Linked DNA regions of Rhinolophus ferrumequinum. The protein of the gene in region 1 interacts with the protein of each later gene in a pairwise test. Links are inferred from orthologs where the notes say so. Each region holds a gene or a part of one and is shown in the gene's direction. Other genes may lie near its edges.

What was found.
Region 2: the proteins of SDCBP (region 1) and REEP6 interact in binary tests that used the Homo sapiens proteins (3 or more experiments, as listed by UniProt). The two-hybrid records come from large-scale screens. The link is inferred for Rhinolophus ferrumequinum from reciprocal best matches to the Homo sapiens genes SDCBP and REEP6.
Region 3: the proteins of SDCBP (region 1) and KCTD9 interact in binary tests that used the Homo sapiens proteins (3 or more experiments, as listed by UniProt). The two-hybrid records come from large-scale screens. The link is inferred for Rhinolophus ferrumequinum from reciprocal best matches to the Homo sapiens genes SDCBP and KCTD9.

Annotation. Positions count from the first base shown.
Region 1 is NC_046297.1:20,117,279-20,121,026, reverse strand, and holds the start of SDCBP (syntenin-1), read left to right. Parts: upstream 1-1,439; 5' UTR 1,440-1,579; intron 1,580-1,702; exon of another isoform or gene 1,703-1,722; intron 1,723-3,748. UniProt on the Homo sapiens protein: Multifunctional adapter protein involved in diverse array of functions including trafficking of transmembrane proteins, neuro and immunomodulation, exosome biogenesis, and tumorigenesis.
Region 2 is NC_046301.1:61,581,030-61,584,777, reverse strand, and holds the start of REEP6 (receptor expression-enhancing protein 6), read left to right. Parts: upstream 1-1,191; 5' UTR 1,192-1,318; coding exon 1,319-1,433; intron 1,434-3,748. UniProt on the Homo sapiens protein: Required for correct function and survival of retinal photoreceptors. Required for retinal development.
Region 3 is NC_046301.1:41,690,272-41,694,019, forward strand, and holds the start of KCTD9 (BTB/POZ domain-containing protein KCTD9), read left to right. Parts: upstream 1-1,325; 5' UTR 1,326-1,421; coding exon 1,422-1,469; intron 1,470-3,748. UniProt on the Homo sapiens protein: Substrate-specific adapter of a BCR (BTB-CUL3-RBX1) E3 ubiquitin-protein ligase complex, which mediates the ubiquitination of target proteins, leading to their degradation by the proteasome.

The DNA of each region.
Region 1 (3,748 bases):
GCATTCTGTTTCATTCATCTGTTTGTCTAGTCTTTTGCTAATAACACATTGTCTTGATTACATAGCTTAATGATGTAGGGCACTATTAGGCCTGTGACTTGGTTCTCTTCTTCGATATTATGTTGGCTCTTCTGGGATTTTTGTTGATATAAAAAAAATAACTAGGATTTTGATTGAGTCTGTGTCAAATCTATCAAGTTGAGAAGAACTGACATCTTGACAACACTGAATCTTACTATCTATGAACATGGAATATACTTCCATTTACTTGGATCTTTTATTTCATCAGGATTTTATAGTTTTACTCATATAGATCTTGTATATATTTTGTTAGATTTATACCAAAGTATTTCACTTTTTTGCATTAATATAAATGATAGTTTCTTTAATTTCAAATTCTAATCATTCACTGCTAGTATACAAAAAGCAATAATAGTTTTATGTATATTAAACTTGTACCATGCAAACTTGCTGTACTTGTGTATTAATTTTAGGTTTTTTTGGGGAGAGGGCCCAATTCTTTGGGATTGTGTACATAATCATGCCACCTGCGAACAAAAATGGTTTTATTTCTTTTTTCCCAATCTAGCGTGTAATTATTTTTAAATGTCTATTTTATCAACTAGACCATAAATTCTCTGAGGGCAGTGTTCATCTTATTTACTTGTCATCTCTTTTCTGCTCAGATTTTTATTAGAATTACCAGTTTATTGTGGCACTAAATAACAGCTAGACAAAAAATGCTTCTACGTTAATGCTATTTCGTATTCTATGTTACTCCATGGTAACTATGGTAAACTTAGGTAACTTAGGAAAGGTGTGCCTCAGTTTCTTTGTATGCTAATGCAGATGTTAGCTATTTTATAGATTGATGTGAGGACCAAATAAGACTATATACATCAAGTTCTTAGGGCAGTGCCTGGAACATAGTTAGCCCTGAAGAAATACAGTTTTCAGTTTTTATATTAGGATACAGAAATTTTGTGCAGGACTACACAACCTTCAACAGCCAATGAACTTTAGTTCAGATAGACAAAGAGTAATAAAAGTCAAAGAAATAAGTTGTAACACAAAGAGGGCAGGAGCTGAAAAAGGTTGGTGGGAGGAATGTTTCTGAGCCTGTGGGTGAAGAGGTTAGTGACCACAGTGGTGAAGTCCAAAGCTGGGGTAGGAATCTCCAAAAGATAGGTTCTTCGGAGTTTCTTTGTGTCGGAAGGGATGGGTACCACGTGACCAAGCGCCACGAACACAGCAGTGAGCAGGTGGCACCGGGCCCTTGGGCAGGAACTACTGAGAGGGTGGAGAAGGTGGTGAGCATAACCGGTGTCAGCGTGGGCGGCTCCACATTCTTCAATCCCGCACCCGGCCCGGTCACCGTTACCACACCGCTGCCCTGTTACCATGGGGACGGGTCACCTGACTGGGCATCGCGCGCCTGCGCGGGTGGACGGCGGGGGTGGTTCCGTGACGCGACTCGAGGGCGGTCTTCGGGCGCCCGCCGCTTTCCTCCCTTCGGGTCTCGGAAGTCCGTGCCAGTGACCGGAGGCGGCGGTGGCAGGAGCTGGTTTCCGCGGCCTAGGTAAGCATCGCTGAGGAGGAAGAGGGACGCTCAGGCTGCGTCCGGGGCGCGGGGACAAGGAGCGGAGGCGTGGGGACCCTGGATCACTAAGCGGAGAACGTCTACGGGTTTCGGGAGGTGCCGGCGGCGACGTCCTCTCCTCGGTGGGTTCCGCACCCCCCCGTGCGCCCTCCCGGGCCCGGGGTGAAAGTTTGCCTGAGCGGCGCGCTGTGCCTGCCTGCGACCCTGCGGGTGTCGTGGTCCCTCCCGGGCCGGGGCTGGGGACAGAGCCCTGAGGCCGGGCCCGGGGCGCCGCCGTCAGCCCCCGCCTCAGCTCTGGGACTCTTTCTCATTCCGGTCCTTGTCAACCCTTTTTGTTCTTCTTGGGTGAGATCCTCAGAGACCCGTGAAGAACGAGCCCGCTGGCTATGCTTCATCGACCCTCGCATTCCATGGGGTTGTACTTAATCACCTTCCTTGGTGGCACAATCGGAACGTCCGGGATTTGGTAGGAGGAGGAGGTTGTTTGTTGAGTGGGCGAAGCCTTGACTTTCTGGAAGGGGGCGTGGGGGGGAGGGGATTGTTCTCCGGGCCTGTTTCTGGAGAAATTGAAGGAGAGGGAAAAACGTTTCCAGTAGGGTGTGTTCAGAAGGAAGTATCCCTTGAGATCTCGTGACTCAGAGCTTTCATTTCAGGATTTCCTGGTAATAATGGGAAAAGTGAAGGCATATGGACGTAAAGTTTTCCTTTTCACTAAAGTGGAATTACTTAATCATGGAGTTTTCTAATGTGCCATTTTTTGAAAGGAATTTCTAGATTCCTCTTTTCTGTATATGTTGTCTGCATGCACATTTACTGTTATGTTTTCCATTAGTAAGTCCATTACTCAGAGAGTACACTTGGTTTACTAAATTCTTAACATGAACTTGCTTCAAAGAAGAAAACAATCGATTAAAAAGGAAAATTACACTGCATGCTCTTAGCTTTATATCAAATATATATTAAGTGATTTAACTCAAATTCCTCCAGTCTTTAGTTTTTCTATTTGCAGTTGAGGGCAAACGGTAAAAAAATAAATAAATAAAAGAGTTTATTTTCTGTTACCAACTTACCAAAAAAGTCTGTTCTACAAACTTTTATGTTTTAAATGGTACATTGATACAAATGATAGATCCAATGGTTTGTGCCACAGAATAAAAATAAAGAAGTGAAATGTCTTCTAAAAGGTTCAGGAAGTAGTTACTATAATACTTTAATCTAAATATAACTTTGACAACATTAATTTTGAGTTATGTTTGTGCGTTATAAGAAAGGATATAAAAATCATGACCCAAAGAGGAAGAATTTACTAATAGTGGCATTCGAATGAAGTAGTCAATAAACACTTCCTTAAATTGAGCATGACTCAACTATTTTTTTCCTGTTTTGTGGGATCTTTCGAAAAAGAAAGATCCCTCAAAATACTTTTAAAAATAATTCCTACATCTAGTAATAGTTATATTAGCACTTACTAATTTCTTTCTAACTCCTGCAAACATTTTTTTGGTATATTTATATAGATTTTGAGGAAGTAACCAGTAACATGGTTCAAAATTTAAGCAGTAAAAAAGGTATATGGTATAGTCTTCCTTCCTTCTAGGTTCTCCAGCCAACTATATTCCCTTGTAATAGGAGCCAGCTGTTTTACATTTCTTAGGTATCCATCTTGGGGTATTTTATACCTATACAGACAAACATACGTATAAATATATTTCCATCCTTTTCTTTTTTCCACTCTTTTTGTTGAGGTAAAATACACATAGTGTAAAGTTTCCCATTTTAACCATTTTAACTGTACAGTTCAGTGGTATTAAGTACATAGACGTTGTGCAACCATCACCACTACCATCCATCCCCAGAACTCTCTTCATCTTTAAAATTGGAACTATACCCATTAAACAGTAACTCCCCATTCTTTCCTCCCCCTGGCTCCTGGCAATCACCATTCTACTTTGTGTCTTTATGATGTTGACTAAGTACCTCATATAAGTGGAATCATACATTATTTGTCTTTCTGTGATTGGCTTCTTTCACTGACTGTGATGTCCTCAAGGTTCATCCATGTTGTAGTATATTGCAGAATTTTCTTCCATTTTAAGGCTGAATAATATTCCATTGTATATACAAAGGGTGCCAAAAAATGTATACACA
Region 2 (3,748 bases), on another chromosome or scaffold:
GCTATGAGTGCCCTCTGCGGGTCCTAGAATCTGAAGTTGGTCGAAGAAGGGATGGACTGGAGGTTCTTGAGGGTACCTGGGGGCCCCCCCCCTCCTGTCAGTCGGGGCCTGGGGTCTTGGGTTGTCTCGCCCCCGCCCCCTTCCCGTCCATCCGGATCCCACCCACCTGTCCCAGGTTGACGAAGCCGAATTTGCGGGCTAAGCGCTCGGCCTCCCGGTAACCCTGGGACACTCGCACGGCCCAGCTGCTGACATAGATGGGGACCCGGGCCGAAGCCCACCCCACAGCCAGGAAACAAACGAGGACCAGGCTCAGGGTCAAAGCCAGGCGCAACCAGAGAACAGTCCAGGCGGGCCGCATGGCGATGGGGGCGGGGTCGGGGTCTACAAATATCCCTCCCCCTGGCCAAACCGCCGAATTGGTCCAAGAGCCCGCCCCGCCCCCGGCGCCATAGCAACCCCTGAAAGGCTTCAACTCCCAGGGGGCCTTGCGGCTCCCCATTCAGGGGCTCAAGGATCCGACAGAAATGGGCGGGGGAACACACGCTTTCCCTGGTCTTTTGCAGACCCAAACCCTCTGGAGTCTCCCCATTTGTACAATAACCCAATTCTTCCGACCCAGAGGAGCGGGTTCACTGTTACTATGATTGACCCGCCCCTTTATTTAGCCCCGCCCGCTTTTCTACATACTCCTCCCACTAAAACAATATCAGCCCTGCCTCCTCTCCAGCCCAACCAGAATCGTTCTTTCGAGTAAGTCCCGCCTCTTCAATTTAGCTCCGCCCTTCAGATTCCGTCCCGCCTCCTTTATGACCAGCCCCGCCCCTCCTCTGATTCTTGCCAATGAATCTCTTCCCGTTTCTCCAATCAGCTCGGGCTTTTCTCAGGCCCCACCCACCAGTTCCGCCCACCCCAGCACGCTTCGCTCCTCCCCAGCTCCACCCACACAAAGGCTCAGCCAATAATCCAAGGCTATGACCCCGCCCCTCCAATCAGCTACGTCCCTCTCCCGCTCGGCCAATTGGCGCCCTCGGCCGTCGCGCCCTGCCTCCTACCTCTGGAGTCGCGGCTGCGGCGGCCGCGGCGGGCCAGAGGGCAATGCGACGGGGGAGAAGGGGCAGGCCCCACCTCCTTTGTCCGCCCTGCCCTCCCATTGGCCGGTGCGAGGGTCAGGGGGTGGAGACCAGCCCCGGGGCGGAGACCAGCCCCGGGGCTGAGCGGTGCGGCTCGCTTCGGGGGAAGACAGCGCGCGCTCCGCAGGGTCGGTGCGCCGGGCTGCGGTCGAGCTCGGGTTGCCAGCCCCGGGACGGCCGGTACCATGGACGGCCTGCGCCAGCGCTTCGAGCGCCTTCTGGAACAGAGGAACTTGGCCACCGAAGCGCTAGAGGTGCTCGAAGCCAAGACCGGTGTCGACAAGCGGTACTTGGCCGCGGGTGAGCCGTCGGGGGCGCTCGGGGCCGCCGCCCCATTTCACCGATGGGCACACTGAGGCAACCCTGGGCACCCTGGGGCAACCGGGCCTCAGACCTGCCCCACTCCAGCTGGCCCAAGCTGCGGGGTCCGGACTGGACGGCGGGGCGTGCCCCGCTGTACCGCGGGGGGTAGACCTAGATCATGGCGGGGGAGGGGTCGTAGATCTGGACCACGGTGTGCTACAGGTCCTCTCCTGCCCCCGCCGTGCGACCTCAGGCGAGAGCCCCCCCTTTCTCAGCCCCCGCAGCACGCCCATTCTGGCCCTCGGGTCTGGAGGCCCGTCCTCTGCCCCCTCCCTCAGGGCTTTGGGTGCCTGCCAGGCCGAAGTCCGGTTCTTCCAGTTGCCCTGCCGTCCCCCGGGGAGAAGGGGGCAGGAAGGCAGCCAGTGCCCTGAGTCTGGCCACCCCTGTCCCTGATGGACCCCAGCCTGAAAGCAAGTGTAGAGATCTCGGTTTTCCGAAGGGATGCCCCCTGCCAGGAGGGAAAGGTCACGTCCACCTTCCCTCCCATTGTTTTCCTGCTAGTACCCTCCTTGGCCTGCCCTCTCCCCTGGTGGCCCAAGGGCTTTGACCCACTCTGCGTGAATAGTTGAGTTGAATAGTTGAGTTGGAGTTCGGTTGTTTGACAGCTGTGTTCATTTTGGAGAAAGCTTGGATGGGGACCCAGGAAGAAGGGGGTCCAGCCACATCTGACTGTAACTTCCATTCCAGTCCCTCCTCTTCCTTTCCTCCTCAATGGCCTGGTGTGGCTCCTGCCACTTTCTAAAACTGTCCAGTAAACACCCATTAAATGCCTTCCTTCCCTGTTTTGCAGTGTACCAGTCCCACCCACTTTGTCACCTCTCCCAGGAAACCCCCCTGGAATGAATCAAAGATGCTGGGGTGGGAGTGGTGGGGAAGGCTTTAAGTGAGGACAATGACAGATGTTTTGAGCACCTTCCATTTGTAGATCCTGGGAATCCACTTTCATCCCATTTCCCCATCAATCAGGGCATCCCCATGCCAAGCAGCTCAAGGAAGATTCGATATCTGTCCCCCCCAGATTCCTAGTGCCAAACCCATGTCAGCTCAGCCGAGGACTTGCCCCTGGGAGCCAGCCATTGACCTCCTGCCTGGCTTTCCACATCCCTGCTACCAATGGGTGGGGGATTTAGGTCACAGTGCACTGGGGAGGGGCCCACCAGGGAGGCTAGTGGTTACAGGGAGGAAACTAAGGCCCAGAGAGGCAGGGGCTGTTGGGAGGTTGCCCCTACCACCTGACCTGACTGGAATATCCACCCCTCCCCCGACCCCTCCTACCCTGAGCCCCATCTGTTGCTGATCTCAGGTTGTGCCCCCGCCAAGTCCAAGGTCATCCTCCCATTGCTGAGGCTGCAGGAATAGGGATTGAGGGGAGGGGTGCCCTGGGAGAGCCGCTGCTCCCCCTCTAGTGATTTCTAGAGAAGGGGTGACATTTCCCCACCCCCTCACCCACATGTGGGAACCCTTGGACCCCACCTGCCCCAAATGGCCAAATCCCCCTTCCCAAGTAATAGGAAACCCAGAGGCGCCAGCTGGGGAGGACCCCCTCCCACTCCTGACCCCAGACTGCGATAGATACTAATGCAGGTGGAGGGAAGGGTGTGGGTGACTCTGCCCTTTGGTCCATGAGTGGCCTCTCTCTCTCTCTCTCTCTCTCTGTCTCTCTCTCTCTGTCTCTCTCTCTCTCTCTTTGCAGATAACAGCCTCAGGGGAAGAGGCGGGAGGCTGTAAATGCTCCCAAATGACCCTGGGCAAGTTCCTCTCGCCCTGCTTCCTTCTCTCATTGCCTGAGACAGAACAGGGAAGCACAGAGCCCCATACATAAGAAGTACTTAATAAATGTGACAGTTACCATTGTTTTCAGAGTGACTAGTGCTCCTGGCTGCCCCCACTCCCACACTATTCTCCTCTGAGCCTTATTGGTGTTTCTGTGACCAGAGGCCCTCAGTAATGTGTGGAAAGGACGAGTCTTCTGTGTTGAATGTATTTAGCTAAACCCACAACCCTAAGAGGCAGGGCCACTACCACCCCATTGACAGATGGGGAAACTGAGTCTCCAAGCTCAGTGTCACATGGTAAGTGAGTGGAGGAGCAGAGGGCTCTCCAAGGTCTGGGGGCTCTAGACTGCCCTTTGCTGCCTCCCACTAAGACAAGGGGTCTCAAACGGGACCATGCGCTACCTCAGGACACTTGGCAGTGTCTGGTGACATTTCCGGTTGTCACAATTAGGGGGTTCTCCTGGCATCAAGTGGGCA
Region 3 (3,748 bases), on another chromosome or scaffold:
CATCGGGGTACCCAGCTAAAGACGCAGCTGGGTATTCCCAGATATTCTAATTCAGGAGGTGTGGCTGGGCCCCAGGGGCCTGCATTTTAGAAAGCACACGGGTGGTCCAGCTCAGGTCGCAGGAAAACCACTTATTTCCGTGGGGCCGGATAAACAGAACACACTTCTGAGAAACACGCCGATGAAGTCAAACCAGGGCACTTGCCTCACCTCTCAGTCCCGCAGTTTGGCTCTCCTCCCGCTTGGGTTTATTCTGAACGCTCCGCCGCACTCGACTATTGCGGTTGCTCTGCCTTCTAGAGCACGGCTCTTTGGTCCTGAAGGGTTAGCTCGAGAAAGTAACTGCTGGCCGGCAAGCCAGCCACCGGGGGCTGCCTCTTACCGTTCACCGACACCCGGAACACGCAGTACGCGGTACCTACACTTCAGCTCAGCACTCCTGCCACCCGCCGCGGGATTCAAATAGCCGGCCCCGCCTCCTCAGCGTCTCGACGTTACTCCACGAATGTGTACGCCGCCGCCACCCGCACGTGTCTGAGAGCACCCAGAACCCTCCCAGGCCTCTACCTCGCCGTCCCAGGAACAGGAGCTTCGTGGACTCTGGGAGAAACCATTGCTAGTTGTGGGTGCGCACTGACCAAAGGGATCAGCTGCGAACCTGTGTCCACAGGGACTATTTTCTGTGAGAGTTCCGCGTAGGAACCCTTCGGTTGGCACTTTGAAGCCGCCTCCCGTCTTTCGATTGGATGCTGCAAACTTCGAAAAGAATAATTTGACCAATCCTGACAGAACGACGGGATGGCTCTAACCCAATCAGCCATCCCTACGGCAGCCGTTCCCTCTGTGGGTTGAGCGATTGGATGGGTTGCAGCCGGGAGTTGCCGACTGGTGTGGGTCACTTCTCGCGCTCCACCTCTTTCCCTCAAACCCTGCCTCCGCCTGCAGAGGAGCTCTACCTGGTTTTGGGTTTGCGCCTGCTCAGTAACGCTTTAAGCCCGCCGTTGGGCTCCAGGTTCTGCTCTGATTGGCTGATGACCCTTCTCGTCTGCCAGACTGCAGCCTCTCTTCCCTCCCTCCACCTGGGTGGGTTAGTATGAGCCCACCCAATGCAGGGTGCTGATTGGTTGAGTGCTGGCCGATGCTGCCGGTTGATTGGTGGAGCTTAGAGTCACTCTGGGAGAGGTGGGGGAAGGGCTCCAGGATGACTGAGGAGCCCAGGGGCGGGGTGGACAGGAGGACCGGCCAACCCTGGGGTGTGGGACGGAAAGTGCGTGCGTGTGTGTGTCTGTAAGAGAAGGAAGGTGGCGAAGGGAGGAGATTTCGAGTGGGAGGAGGGAGGGGAAGGGCGGGAGAAGAGAAAGGTGGGAGGAAAGCCAGGTGGGAGGGTGGCGACTCACTCAGGACCCAGTGGGGGCAGCGCGATGAGGCGGGTGACCCTGTTCCTTAATGGCAGCCCCAAGAATGGAAAGGTAAGGGGGTCCGGAGGAGGCGAAGAGGGCCTCGCTGCTGGGGGCGTGGGCAACGGAGTGCGGAGCGGGCTCTTAGGGCAGAGGGCTGAAGTTGGGGAGAGGGGTTGGGAGGTGGACGTGCGCCGGTGTGGGGTGCGTTTAGAAGGTGAACATCGGGTCCCCGCGGCTTCCTCCCAACCCCGGGATTTCTAGCTGGAGCCTCTTTTACTCCCCAGTCGCCCCAGGAACTAGCGCAGGTCAGCTTGTGCTTGATCTTTACAAGTCCAGGTATGGGGCGGGAAGAACGCAGGTTACGGAGGGTCGCTGTCACCTGATCGCTTGATACTGAGCGCTCTTCCCACCTCCTCCCGGAAGACCCCGCTGCCCCCCTCCCCTGACTACTGAGGCCGCTTATTTCCACCTTCGTGCTGACTAATGCTCTGCTCCAGAAAAGTGGTGGATACAACTGAGGCATGTAAGGTTGACCGCGTAAAAATTAAACTCTTTATCAGTGGATAAATGAAATATTCTTCTGGGTCGCATAGAGGATTGAAAATTAGGGACATGAGGTCCCCCGCCGCCACCAAACTTCTGTACTCTGTTATTTCGCCTTATTTTAGCTCCTTAGAGGACTCTGACAATAGGCCAAAATGGATTGATTTGACATTACTCCTTGCTGTGTTAGGCCTTTGTTCAGGGTGTGGTATTAAACATTTTTCCAACGCCAGAACAAGCCAAAATGAATCCTGCTGCTTCTCAGCTTCTTGCCCCACCCATGAAAGTTGTTGGGCTTCTTTGGAAAATTTGACTGTTCAAGGCAGACATTTATGGTGCGTCTAAATGACGTCTACAAGTAACTAAGCATTAGAGTCTAAAGTAAAGGTAAATTGGCCTCACTGTATTATTTGCTAGCATGCTTTGTCTTCTGCATATTTTGAAAATATTGTAAATTTCTAAATAGTGTAAATGTGCCACGGTATAAAACGTGGTTTCCCAACTATTCTGCAATTTTGAGTAAACATGTTCTAAAAATCTGAACCACAGTGTAGTTTGTTGACTATAATTTTGTGTTCTTCTGGTTTTAGATATTTAATACCCATATAAAACAGAACTGGCATAAATTCAAGTTTTGGGGTTTTTTATAAATGCTGCCTAAAAATATGCTTAGCAAGATTTACATTACTTCTGATCATATTAACTTTTTCTTTCTCTACCTGTTTTGTCTGTTAACTACCACTCACAACCTAAAACTTACATTGTTATTGAAAGATTTAGTATATCCAAAGTTATAATTGTAATATGTTCTCAAAACCAGACCTCTGATTGACCTTTTTCCCAACATCTCTGCTATGTTATTCCATGAAAGACAAAATGTTTAGACCCAGTCATAAATATTTAACTGTGCTATGAATCTCTTCTGAAACCACTGAATTTTGTTATTGCCAAAGATTGTCTCTATCTTTAATAAAAATTTTAAAGCTGTCTAGTTTTGATGAGGTTAGATTTTTAGAGAATCTCAGAAGATTGGAAGACACATCTCAAATAAAGATAAATATGTTTATGTTACAAAAATCCATAAAGCCCCAAACTGGAGAATACTAGTATGATTCAATATTAAAAATAAGTCATGCCATAATCCTTACTACTCAACTGGAAAACATATTCTATGCCAAAGTTGTCAGTGTTTCCTCTCCCTTCAGCTGATTAAATATATATATATATATATATATATATATATATATATATGTATTTATACATATATGTATAATTCTGGAACATCGAATATATATATATATATTATTTGAGAAAAAGAGCAGAATAATAACAGCCTACATGTTAATATAAATAAAGTTTATTTATATTATAGTTAGCCAGGATGGCATGATCATGACATTGATGTTCATGAAAAACATGATGGAACAAAGCACAACTGTGAAATAGAGTTGGATTTCCCATCCACCAGTTGGAATAGCTGTGTCACTCCCATTATCTCTTTATTTACCTAGCTTCAATTTTTGTTTCCTGGTCATAAGAATAATGTCTGGTTTTTCAAATTTCCCTCCTGTAAAGCTTATCCAGTGGTTGCCATACTGGGCTATGAAGCCTTGGGTGGGGGAGGCAGTCACTGCAGGTGAAATCTGCTCACTGTGACTTTTCTGTGTAACTAATGAATAAACAATCAAGTGTAACTAGTGAATGTTTTGAGGTAGAAGAGAGGGCTGTGCATTCTTTAAAACAGTGAGATGGTACACCACAAAGGCTAGACAAGGGGATCCAGGGGAGTTTCAGAAGAAATATTA